Drosophila melanogaster: one gene and its partner. The gene in region 1 interacts genetically with each later gene. Each region holds a gene or a part of one and is shown on either strand. Other genes may lie near its edges. The genes, in order: Or67d and ATP8B.

What was found.
Region 2: of Or67d (region 1) and ATP8B, changing one suppresses a phenotype caused by changing the other (phenotypic suppression), as found in Drosophila melanogaster (one study listed by BioGRID).

Annotation. Positions count from the first base shown.
Region 1 is NT_037436.4:10,271,349-10,275,174, reverse strand, and holds Or67d (odorant receptor 67d), read right to left. Parts: upstream 1,972-3,826; coding exon 1,637-1,971; intron 1,516-1,636; coding exon 1,078-1,515; intron 1,006-1,077; coding exon 816-1,005; intron 764-815; coding exon 551-763; downstream 1-550. UniProt on the Drosophila melanogaster protein: Plays a role in detection and sensitivity to pheromones and signal transduction of the fatty-acid-derived male pheromone 11-cis vaccenyl acetate (cVA).
Region 2 is NT_033777.3:12,076,672-12,081,960, reverse strand, and holds the start of ATP8B (ATPase 8B), read left to right. Parts: upstream 1-2,032; 5' UTR 2,033-2,280; intron 2,281-4,424; 5' UTR 4,425-4,484; coding exon 4,485-5,055; intron 5,056-5,218; coding exon 5,219-5,277; intron 5,278-5,289.

The DNA of each region.
Region 1 (3,826 bases):
CCTTTCGATGCTTGCTCTTTTTTTTTTGCTGTTTTTACTATTTTTCATGGTCTGTGGCCTGGCAGACATCATTTTTTGTGGGCCCATAAAGTGCGGGTCTGTTTATTAAATTCCGTTGCGGCAAGTTCATTAGACAAAGAGCAAAAATTAATCAGCGCTCTCCCCATCCAAATTCACTCCTCTCATTTGCTCAGCAGCAGTTTCAGCGGATTACTTTTATAGTATATATTTCTATGGCTAAAAATGGGAGCCAAATTGCCTAGCGATTTACGAGATTTGATCAAAGAAATCTCATTTGTTAAAGGGCTTAAATATTGCTTAGCCACTTTGTGACTATTCTCGGAAATTCTAAATTAGTCAAAATAGGTAATAGTTCTGATAAATGCAAAACCCATTAAAGAACTATTTGATGGTATCCATAAATGTTAGTTTTACAAAGCATGTATGAATATATTTTAATCTACACATTTTTTCAGTTGGCTCATTAAGTGTGTATTGTATTAATATGGTTTAAAAATAAGAGCGACTTTTAATTAAATATTTTGTTTTCTTATCCCAAATAGTTCATCAACATCATGCTGAAACTATATATGCCTTTCGTCAATTGCAAAGCTGTGTTCATCGACAAAGGCGCCATGTCGGCTGCAGTGAGTACAACTTCATTTTGAGCCTTGGCCAGCATCATGATAATAAGTTTCTCCTCCTTAACGGGTAGCTCATACCACAAACAATTCGTGTAGATCACACTTAGGAAATCCTCATTCTGAAAGGCATAAAATGATTACAGTTTCTTAAATAACAACTAAATTACTTACTGAATTTTCTACTAAAGTACCCAAGCCGCAAAAGGTGTAGAGAGTTATGGCGGCATATAAAAGGTAAAGAGGAGCTGCGGGCCAGGCTTTCATAAAGATGCAAGATATGGTACAGAGAAGACCTACGCAAGTTGTGGAAAGTTGAACGAACAAGACTATGGAATAGATCTTCTTGGTGGTTTGAAGCATTCTGCATAAACGCAAATATATATGTACAAAATACTATAAATATAAGTATTAATTATTTCGTTTAGCTAATTACCTAGTATACAGCTGATGCCAGACCAACAGGTCGCAAAGCATGGCTCTCACTTTTGGAAAATCATTCCTTTTCATAACCAACTCGTTAAATTCCGTAAGCTTCACACAGAATATGTCCTTGATTAACGGCACATGGGTAACGAAAAGAAATAGGTACATATCCCCTCCGTAGTTACCAAATCCACCGAATGTAATTAAAATCACATGAGCAGCCGTGAGTATTAGGTGACCACCATCTGTTGTGTGATCGAGGAATGGTATTAGAAATTGCATGACCAATACCTTTTGGTGCAGAATCAGCAAGTAGAATATGGGAAAGGTGATTACAAGGCCCAAAAGAATAATGTAGACGAGCATGAAGCCGATTAAAAGAGTCCATGTAATGCGGATTCGCTTCTCCAAGCATTTAGCATATTCATCTCCCTTAGATCCGTATTCTCTGCGGAAAAATATGAAAATGTTGTAAAATAAATAATTATATTGTTGAATATGTCAATAGAAAATTAATTTATATATTGGAATTGAACAAGTTGTTGCTTTTGTTAAAACCAAACTCTGACCTATAGATATCCTCGTAGGTATTCTGAACTTCTCGCATGTGAGAAGCATTATTGGCGGTTACCAAAAGTTTAGTAAGTCCCTGAACGGCGGAGCCGACCATGGCCAATGCCTGTAGGATTATGGTGAGGTCTCCATTGATGACCACTCCCACATAAATTGTATATCCTGTACAGGCGAAGAAGAAGGCAATGGCTGCCATCACAGCGTAGGTGAGCCACCACATCCGAAAATTGGGATCTGCCACATCGTTTCCGCAAAATCCCACGCAAAAGCGAATCATTCGAATGACTTTACAATAGCGCTCTACAGGCTCAACTTTTGCCATTTTCAACATTGTTTGTTAGCTATGCAACTTAAAGGAGAACTGTTTTTTAATTGTCAAAATAATCCTGCTTTTATAGAGCTTCCAAGCTGGCAATTAATGTCATAATATTGACGTTATAATTGCGGCATTTAGCTAAAGAATCTATTGTAAATAATTAATATTCAAGGGCGGTCGATATCTGAATAAAGTGCAATTACACTCAGCATTAAATATATTTTCCATTAGTGTTCTCAATGGTATATTTCTTTTATGAAAATAAAAGATATAAGTCTAGGAACTTTATGTTCTTCATTGATTTAATAAGAAATGAATCGCATTTTGTTTTTCCCCATCGTAAATTGCCTCCCAGCCAAACAACTTTTTGCATGAGCACATCTGCCACCCCGACCAGAAAACACAATATAAGGAGAAAATCTCCACGCAATTGATTTAATATAAAATTTTTTAATAAAATTTGCTGCCCGGGAAAAAAGTGGACTACGAGTGAAAAAAAAAGAAGGGAAACGTGAGCTGTTAGGGGAGCTTAAAATTATATCTATTTGCGGAGCGCACAAGTCTTGACGTGAAAATTTCGGGACAGGAAGCAGAATGTGGGGGGAAATGCGTAAGCGCCTAAGCTTTCGGCCAACAACTAATAAAGGCTATCAACAACAGTTCAAACAGCACCAGCATCGCAAACAACAACAGGCAGAGCAACAGCAACAAGGACGACAGGACAATGGGCACGAAATCAGGAAAACAGGATGAGAATGCCAGTGTCGACAGCGCATACGCACTCAAGTGAATATTTTCTCATTTTCTTGCATTTAAGTTGGGTTCGCTTTGAAGTTTTGACATTTCATAAAGCGGCAGCGAAACAAATTTCGTTCTTCCTCATTTCGCTTTTATTTCATTTTATTTTTTCGTTTATTCTATATATTTTTTTTTCGATCGAAAATCCGAGCAAACAAAAGTAAAAGCGAACGCTCGGCGCACGCAGAAAAAAAAATATACATATTCCCTGCTTAGTCACCCCTGCGAGAATGGAAGGTGTGGCCAAAAAAAAAAGAAACGACCCTCACAGGCCTACCCCCTGGAAAAATAATCGAAAGCGCCACCCCCACTTACTACCTCGCCATCGTGGCGTATACTTAATATGGGCAAAAGGCCAAGACAACAGGGGCTTTAAGTAGCCAAGGAAACATTAAAGACCCTGCCAGGCATCTCAGTTGGCCCACAAAATTACTTGCTCGTTAGTTAGGAAATACCAGGTATTCGTACTCCCCTCCTCTATAATCAATCTCTATCTCTCTCTTTCTCACTCTGTCCCTGTTCCTCACTCTATCAACCCTCAATGGAAAAAAAAATAAAAGGTGGGCTGTCTCACGCTCGCTTATTTCCAGCCGAACAAAAAACTTCTTCCAGTGGAAAGTGCGTGGCATTCCGAGGCCACCGCCCGCCAGTGGGCGCCACTGTATACACTGCAATTTTTAGTAGATGCAATGAAAGATTGGTGATCTCTTTGTTTGATATTGCGCATGTATAATTGCTAGTAAATAAATTTAAAAAAAATTGAATTCCCTATTAAAAAATAACGTTTATTAGTTAATTTTGTATAAACTGAGTAGTATAGTTTACCCACAAGTAATCTCTTGATATGAACTTAATAGTAGGCTCATAACAGAAAATAGCTCTTGGCTTCTTATTATAAATAATGCCAGTGATTGACCATATTCATAAGTTTTTTTCATAAATTATAGACCAAGTTGCGCTAATCATTTTTTAAAGTACTTCCCCGCCTATACAAGCGTCTTGTTTGTCTCTAATTATATTTTAATTTGCGCAATCTGTCTGTTATTATTTCTGTGCACGGCAATTGCCTCCA
Region 2 (5,289 bases), on another chromosome or scaffold:
TCGGCCAGATAGTGACCCAGTTCTTTGGCGTTACTAAACCAATTGCAGGGAGAGACGACGCGGAACTCTGACAAAAAGCAGCCCGTTGCTCGATTTTGGCCCTGACACTATTCCGCAAAGGTACCGTTAGCCAATGGCCCAAACATGTGCATGTGTATGTGTGTTTGTATATGCGGGGGAGTCGAAGTGTGTATGTGTAAGTGCGTGAGTGCCTTGAGCTTGGTCAAAACGGCACTTCGATTTATTAGGCGCCTTGTTTCGGCCGCTCAATGAATGAAGTGAATGAATGCGAATTATTCCGATTCATGAGTAGGGGTGGGTACTTGTTGACTTGTAAGTGTGTGCACATAACTTTGTGTAATACACTAGTCAGCAAAATGTAGAATATGTCGTCATTTAAACACTTCATTCAGATAATTACAAAAAATATAATTTAAATTGCGGTGTATATGTGCGGTCGAATTAGTTTTTATACAAAATGATCAAAGATACAAACTAACCTTTTGATGTGAAACTAATCCAAGAGTGTCGAATCAGGAAAATTTGTAAAAATTTTTTATTGACTTGAGACAAGTGTCTTGACGACCCACCCAGCTTTAAAGTTGCCAAGTGAAGTTTGTGACCCTTAAACTCAATTTTGTTAAAGTTGTTTTACAAATAAAACAAATTGAGAAACTGCAAGGCGCCACAACTTATTTCTAACGAAAACGAAAGTAGGGAATGTTCAAGTAATATTGAACTATTTATAACTATAATGTTTGCAATTGCTTTTGATAATAATAAGACTATGTACTTATGTTCATATGTATGTTGTACATGAGCGACACGTAAAGTCTTCAAAGAATTCTGGGAATGCGAATCTGTGCCCACAATAACCGCAAAATAAACTTACACAATCCATCCTTTCGAAATTCATTATTTAATAGGAACTTGAATAATATGTACATTCAGCGTTTGGCGCTTCGCTGATTAAGTTTGCCTTGTTCCGAAAAAAAAAACGTAATGCAATGTGTACGGGGTGTGATTACCATTTCCCGCCCCCGGCAATCATTCATTAACCCATATGCGCCACTTCTTCAAGCGCCAATAATGTGCTTTTTTTGTTTTGACATTGACATTGCTGCTTTTTTGAATGAAAAGAGAGTAAGAGAGAGCACGCTTTCTCTTGCTTGTTCAATTCACGTGACAGAGCGAGGAAGAGCACCTCCAATTTGTTTGTCGACTCACTCGTTCTCTTTCAATTTGTTCCCTTGTTTTTTTTTCTTAGGGTGACTTACGAAATTTGCTCATTTTTATGCTTGACAAACTTGGGAAATTGTTGACAGATTTTTTGCCGCAACGAACGCGGTAATACTCTTTCGATTATCAATAATAAGTGATTAATTTGTAATATATATTTTGTTAAATTATTCTTTATTAGTATTAATATAAAAAAAATTAAAAAATCGTAGGATTAAATAAAATTATTAATACAGAATATAAACATTTTTAAATATATACGGCTCTATTTCCAACACCGCAAAACCATTAGGGTGGACCCTGATAGCATAATCGTTTATGTGAATATTACTCATACGACCCATAAGCCCATCAAAATACTTCAGCGATTGCACTGCGACCCTAAGGCAATCGATCAAGTCAGCTCGGGTCCCATTACTAGAGCTTTTTAAAAGATTTCTACGTTTCACGTTAATCCTCTTTTCAAAAAGCCAATTCTGAGAGTGGAAATTATCACCTATTGTGCTTTGAACCTTTGAACCACAGATCACTTGAGTTGGAATGATAAACTTTGGATATCGAAGCTTTTCCATAGCTCTCTTTTAAGACAAGCTGGTTTTAACCGTTTGCGCTTGAAGGTGTGCGTGAATCGGTTGCCAAGTCCGGTTGCCTTGGCAGCGCAGTCGGCAATTTGTTGTCATCGTTTTACTCGCATTTCGCTCAGCTGACGGCGTCGCAGTCGCCGTCGCTGTCGCCGTCTCGGTCGCCGTCGCCCATTTTGGCCGCAGTTTGCGCGCGGCAGTTGGCCATTTGGCTTTGGCGTTAGCCGTTTTTGTTTATCGCACTGCGGACCGCGTAGCACTTCGCGTTGCCTTGGGCCAATTAAGTGGAATATAACTCCCTGCTTTGCGAAAAACTCAAGTTGCAGTTTTAAAATAAGGTGTTTCCGCGTTTTCACAAAAAAATACGAGGAAAACTAATAAAAGGCAAAAAAAAATAAGCAACAAATGGAAAAATCAAACGCAAGCGGTGCAAAATAAGTGCAAGAAATGTGCTAAAAATGTACGAAGCTGGGTGGTTGGAGGAGAAGGAGGAGGAGGAGGAGCGATATAGGGGTAGAAGGGGAAGGGCCGAAGAGAGATCATGATGATGCATTTGGCACCTGGCACCGAAAACATGTTCCTCATTTGCCTCTGTTTTGTTGTGCTTTCTTTGCTCCCAGCATAATTATTGAGCATTCATCGATTCTTTTGGCCTTTTCTTGTAGTTAATTTGTTTTCACCCCTGCCCCTTGCAAACCCATCAAAGGTGACGCATGCGAGCGAAGGAAAAGCGAACAGCAAAAACAACTCAAGAAGGCGAAACAAATTGAGAGCAAGGAGCAAATTTACATTCACATGCATGACTCATGTTCGCAGCAGGATATCGTCGTTAAGGAGAGCGGAAGAGTGCATGGGAAAAGAGGGGGAGAGAGAGCGCGACAGAGCTTACCCGGCATTGTTGTTGCTACACAGGGAAAAAAGATAATATTAATATTAATATTATTTTAAAGGTTAAATGGAGATACATAAGTACTTAGATAAATATATGTTAAATTAATAAAAATGGGCTTCAAATAAAACCAGCCCAGAATACCTTATTCATACCACTCCAATTTCCTTAGTGTAGTTGAGAGAGTCCGCTTGGGAGAGGCATACAAAATAATGTGAGAGCGCCAATCAGCTGTAATTCGAAAACGGGCGGAAGTGGGGCCAAATTTTTTGCCGATTGCCTTTATTATCCTTAGCAAAGAGACAAAAACTTTGGACAGAACTTTTCGTCTCAGATTCAATTTCCGTTCTCCCTTACCGTTATGCCTTTCATATCCACCTTTTGCATGCATTCGCCGTGGCCTTGACAACAGTTTTGACATTGACACCCGCCTGCTTTCCACAATTATGAAAGGCAAGAGAGAGTAAAAAGAGCGAACTTTAGTTTGCTGCAGCTTCCTTTTCTTTGTTGCCCAAATAAAGGCCACTTGTTGAATGTGTAAAATGCTTACACACACGCACACACACTCACCCAGTAGAAGCTTTGTGACGCCAGAGCGACTTGCTTACTGCAGATTTGCTCAATCGAGCATAAGGCTGTAAAGTAAACATAAAGTAGTACACATGTCTGCGTATATTTGTAGTCGACTGCTCAACCATAATGCACCCAGATGTACTCACATGAAAATTCCGAGAAAATTCCAAGAAAGCAAGGTGAAAATGTTTGGCATGGATACTGGCAGTAAATACAGTGCGTGCTTTATAAAATGAACCATTAAAAGCAACGGCAAGGGAACCAGAAAGGCGATTCTTGAAAAGTTTTTTCTTGCAACTTAATATTGCCCCAATGATGATATCAAGCTTATGCTTATTATCAAGAACATTCAGATACTTTTCAAAGTTTTTTTAAATTGAAATCTTTCATACACCAGACCGTACAGCAACCAGTATAATTAAAAACCACTGAAAAGCAATTCCAAATTAATTACCAGTTTTTGTTACAATCGGTTTGTTTGAGTTTCAAATTAAAATCTCACACAATAAATAATTATTGTAAGAACTTTTAATTGAACTGCACCACAGCTATTGAACTATATTTGCCTTGTGGAGAACAAAAAAGGAATGACGGGGCATCAGCCAGTTTAGGACAACCTACAATGCTTTTTGGAAGCCAATCAAAAATTTTATTGATATAAATTGTGGGCTTAAAGGGTAAACTGTGTTTATGTTTAAGAAAAATCGATAGAACTATGAGAGCCTATTTATTTGGAATATTGTAACGCGAGTAAATTTTCCTTAATTGCTTTAAAATGTGGGTGTACATATATTTCGTGACGCATTCAGTCCCAAACTCAGTCCTAGTTAAAAATCTCAACAAGTATTTGATATACCCTTTGAAGACGATTCCCCCTGGGTATCCGAGAATCACAGAAGAAATTTGTTTATTTATTTATTGCCCAGACATATGCGTGCAAACACTCAATGTGTGAGGAGAATCGTTTCCAGCTGTCTGGGGCTCTTTGTCAATGGGAGGGGTAGCAGTCTATCAAAATGATGGATGGAACAGTCTTATTGAGCCAGCCCTCCAGGGAAGTTTGTTCGGTGCCGATGGGTTTTCAATTGCATTTTAATCTTTCGGGAGTTAGCAACACGTTAAACTTTCGATTTTCCTCGTAGAATGAAGAGTAATGCGGACGCCCCATATCGTTATTGTTCCACCTATAGCCTAAGCTGGTCATGATCGGGGGCAGGAGATGCAGCGAGGCCGCCCGGCGGCTAAGGAGGCGTCCTGACACTCTGGAACTTTCAGTTCTGGGGGGCCAACCTATCGAAACTGAACTCCAGGAGGACAATGAGCGGACCCCAACAAAGGGAGCCGGAAATGTGGATGAGCCCGGAATAGAAGCTCCTGAAGCTTCGTGCTCTGCGCCCAGCAAAAGAACCCGATGGTTTCAGTTCGCCAGGAGCTCCAAAAATCGAAGGAAACGATTGCACTGTAATGAAGATGAGGATGTTAAGCAGCCGGAAAGAAGGAATTCCGATTTGGAGGGCAGTCCGAGGGCTTGCCTCGCTCAACCGGAGGGCATGAATATAGGCAGCTCTACGCAAACCATTGCCACACCCCTAATGATAGGAGATAGCTTCTACAGCTTGGCGCCGGGAGGAGGCAATCCACCACCCAACAAATCCGATGACCAGGAACTGTATAAGCAGAGAGATCCTTCCGTGACCTCGGAGTCAAAGTCCGTGCCAAGTTTGAGACGTCTTTCCCAGATTAGAAGGCGTCGCAGCTCGTACTATTTTTCGGGTAAAAAGAGATTAAGAATGGAAAATAACTTTAAGGAAAAAATTGTTTGGAAGAGTATAGTTATTTGTAGTATAGAAAACTGTAATTAGGATTATTAATCATATATTAACCACATTATGTTTATTAAAAAATCCTAGCTAAGATATTATTTTTATATTCACAGAAAACGAACGTAGAATTCGAGCCAACGATAAAGAGTTCAATGCCCAGTTCAAATATCATGTAAGTAAATAC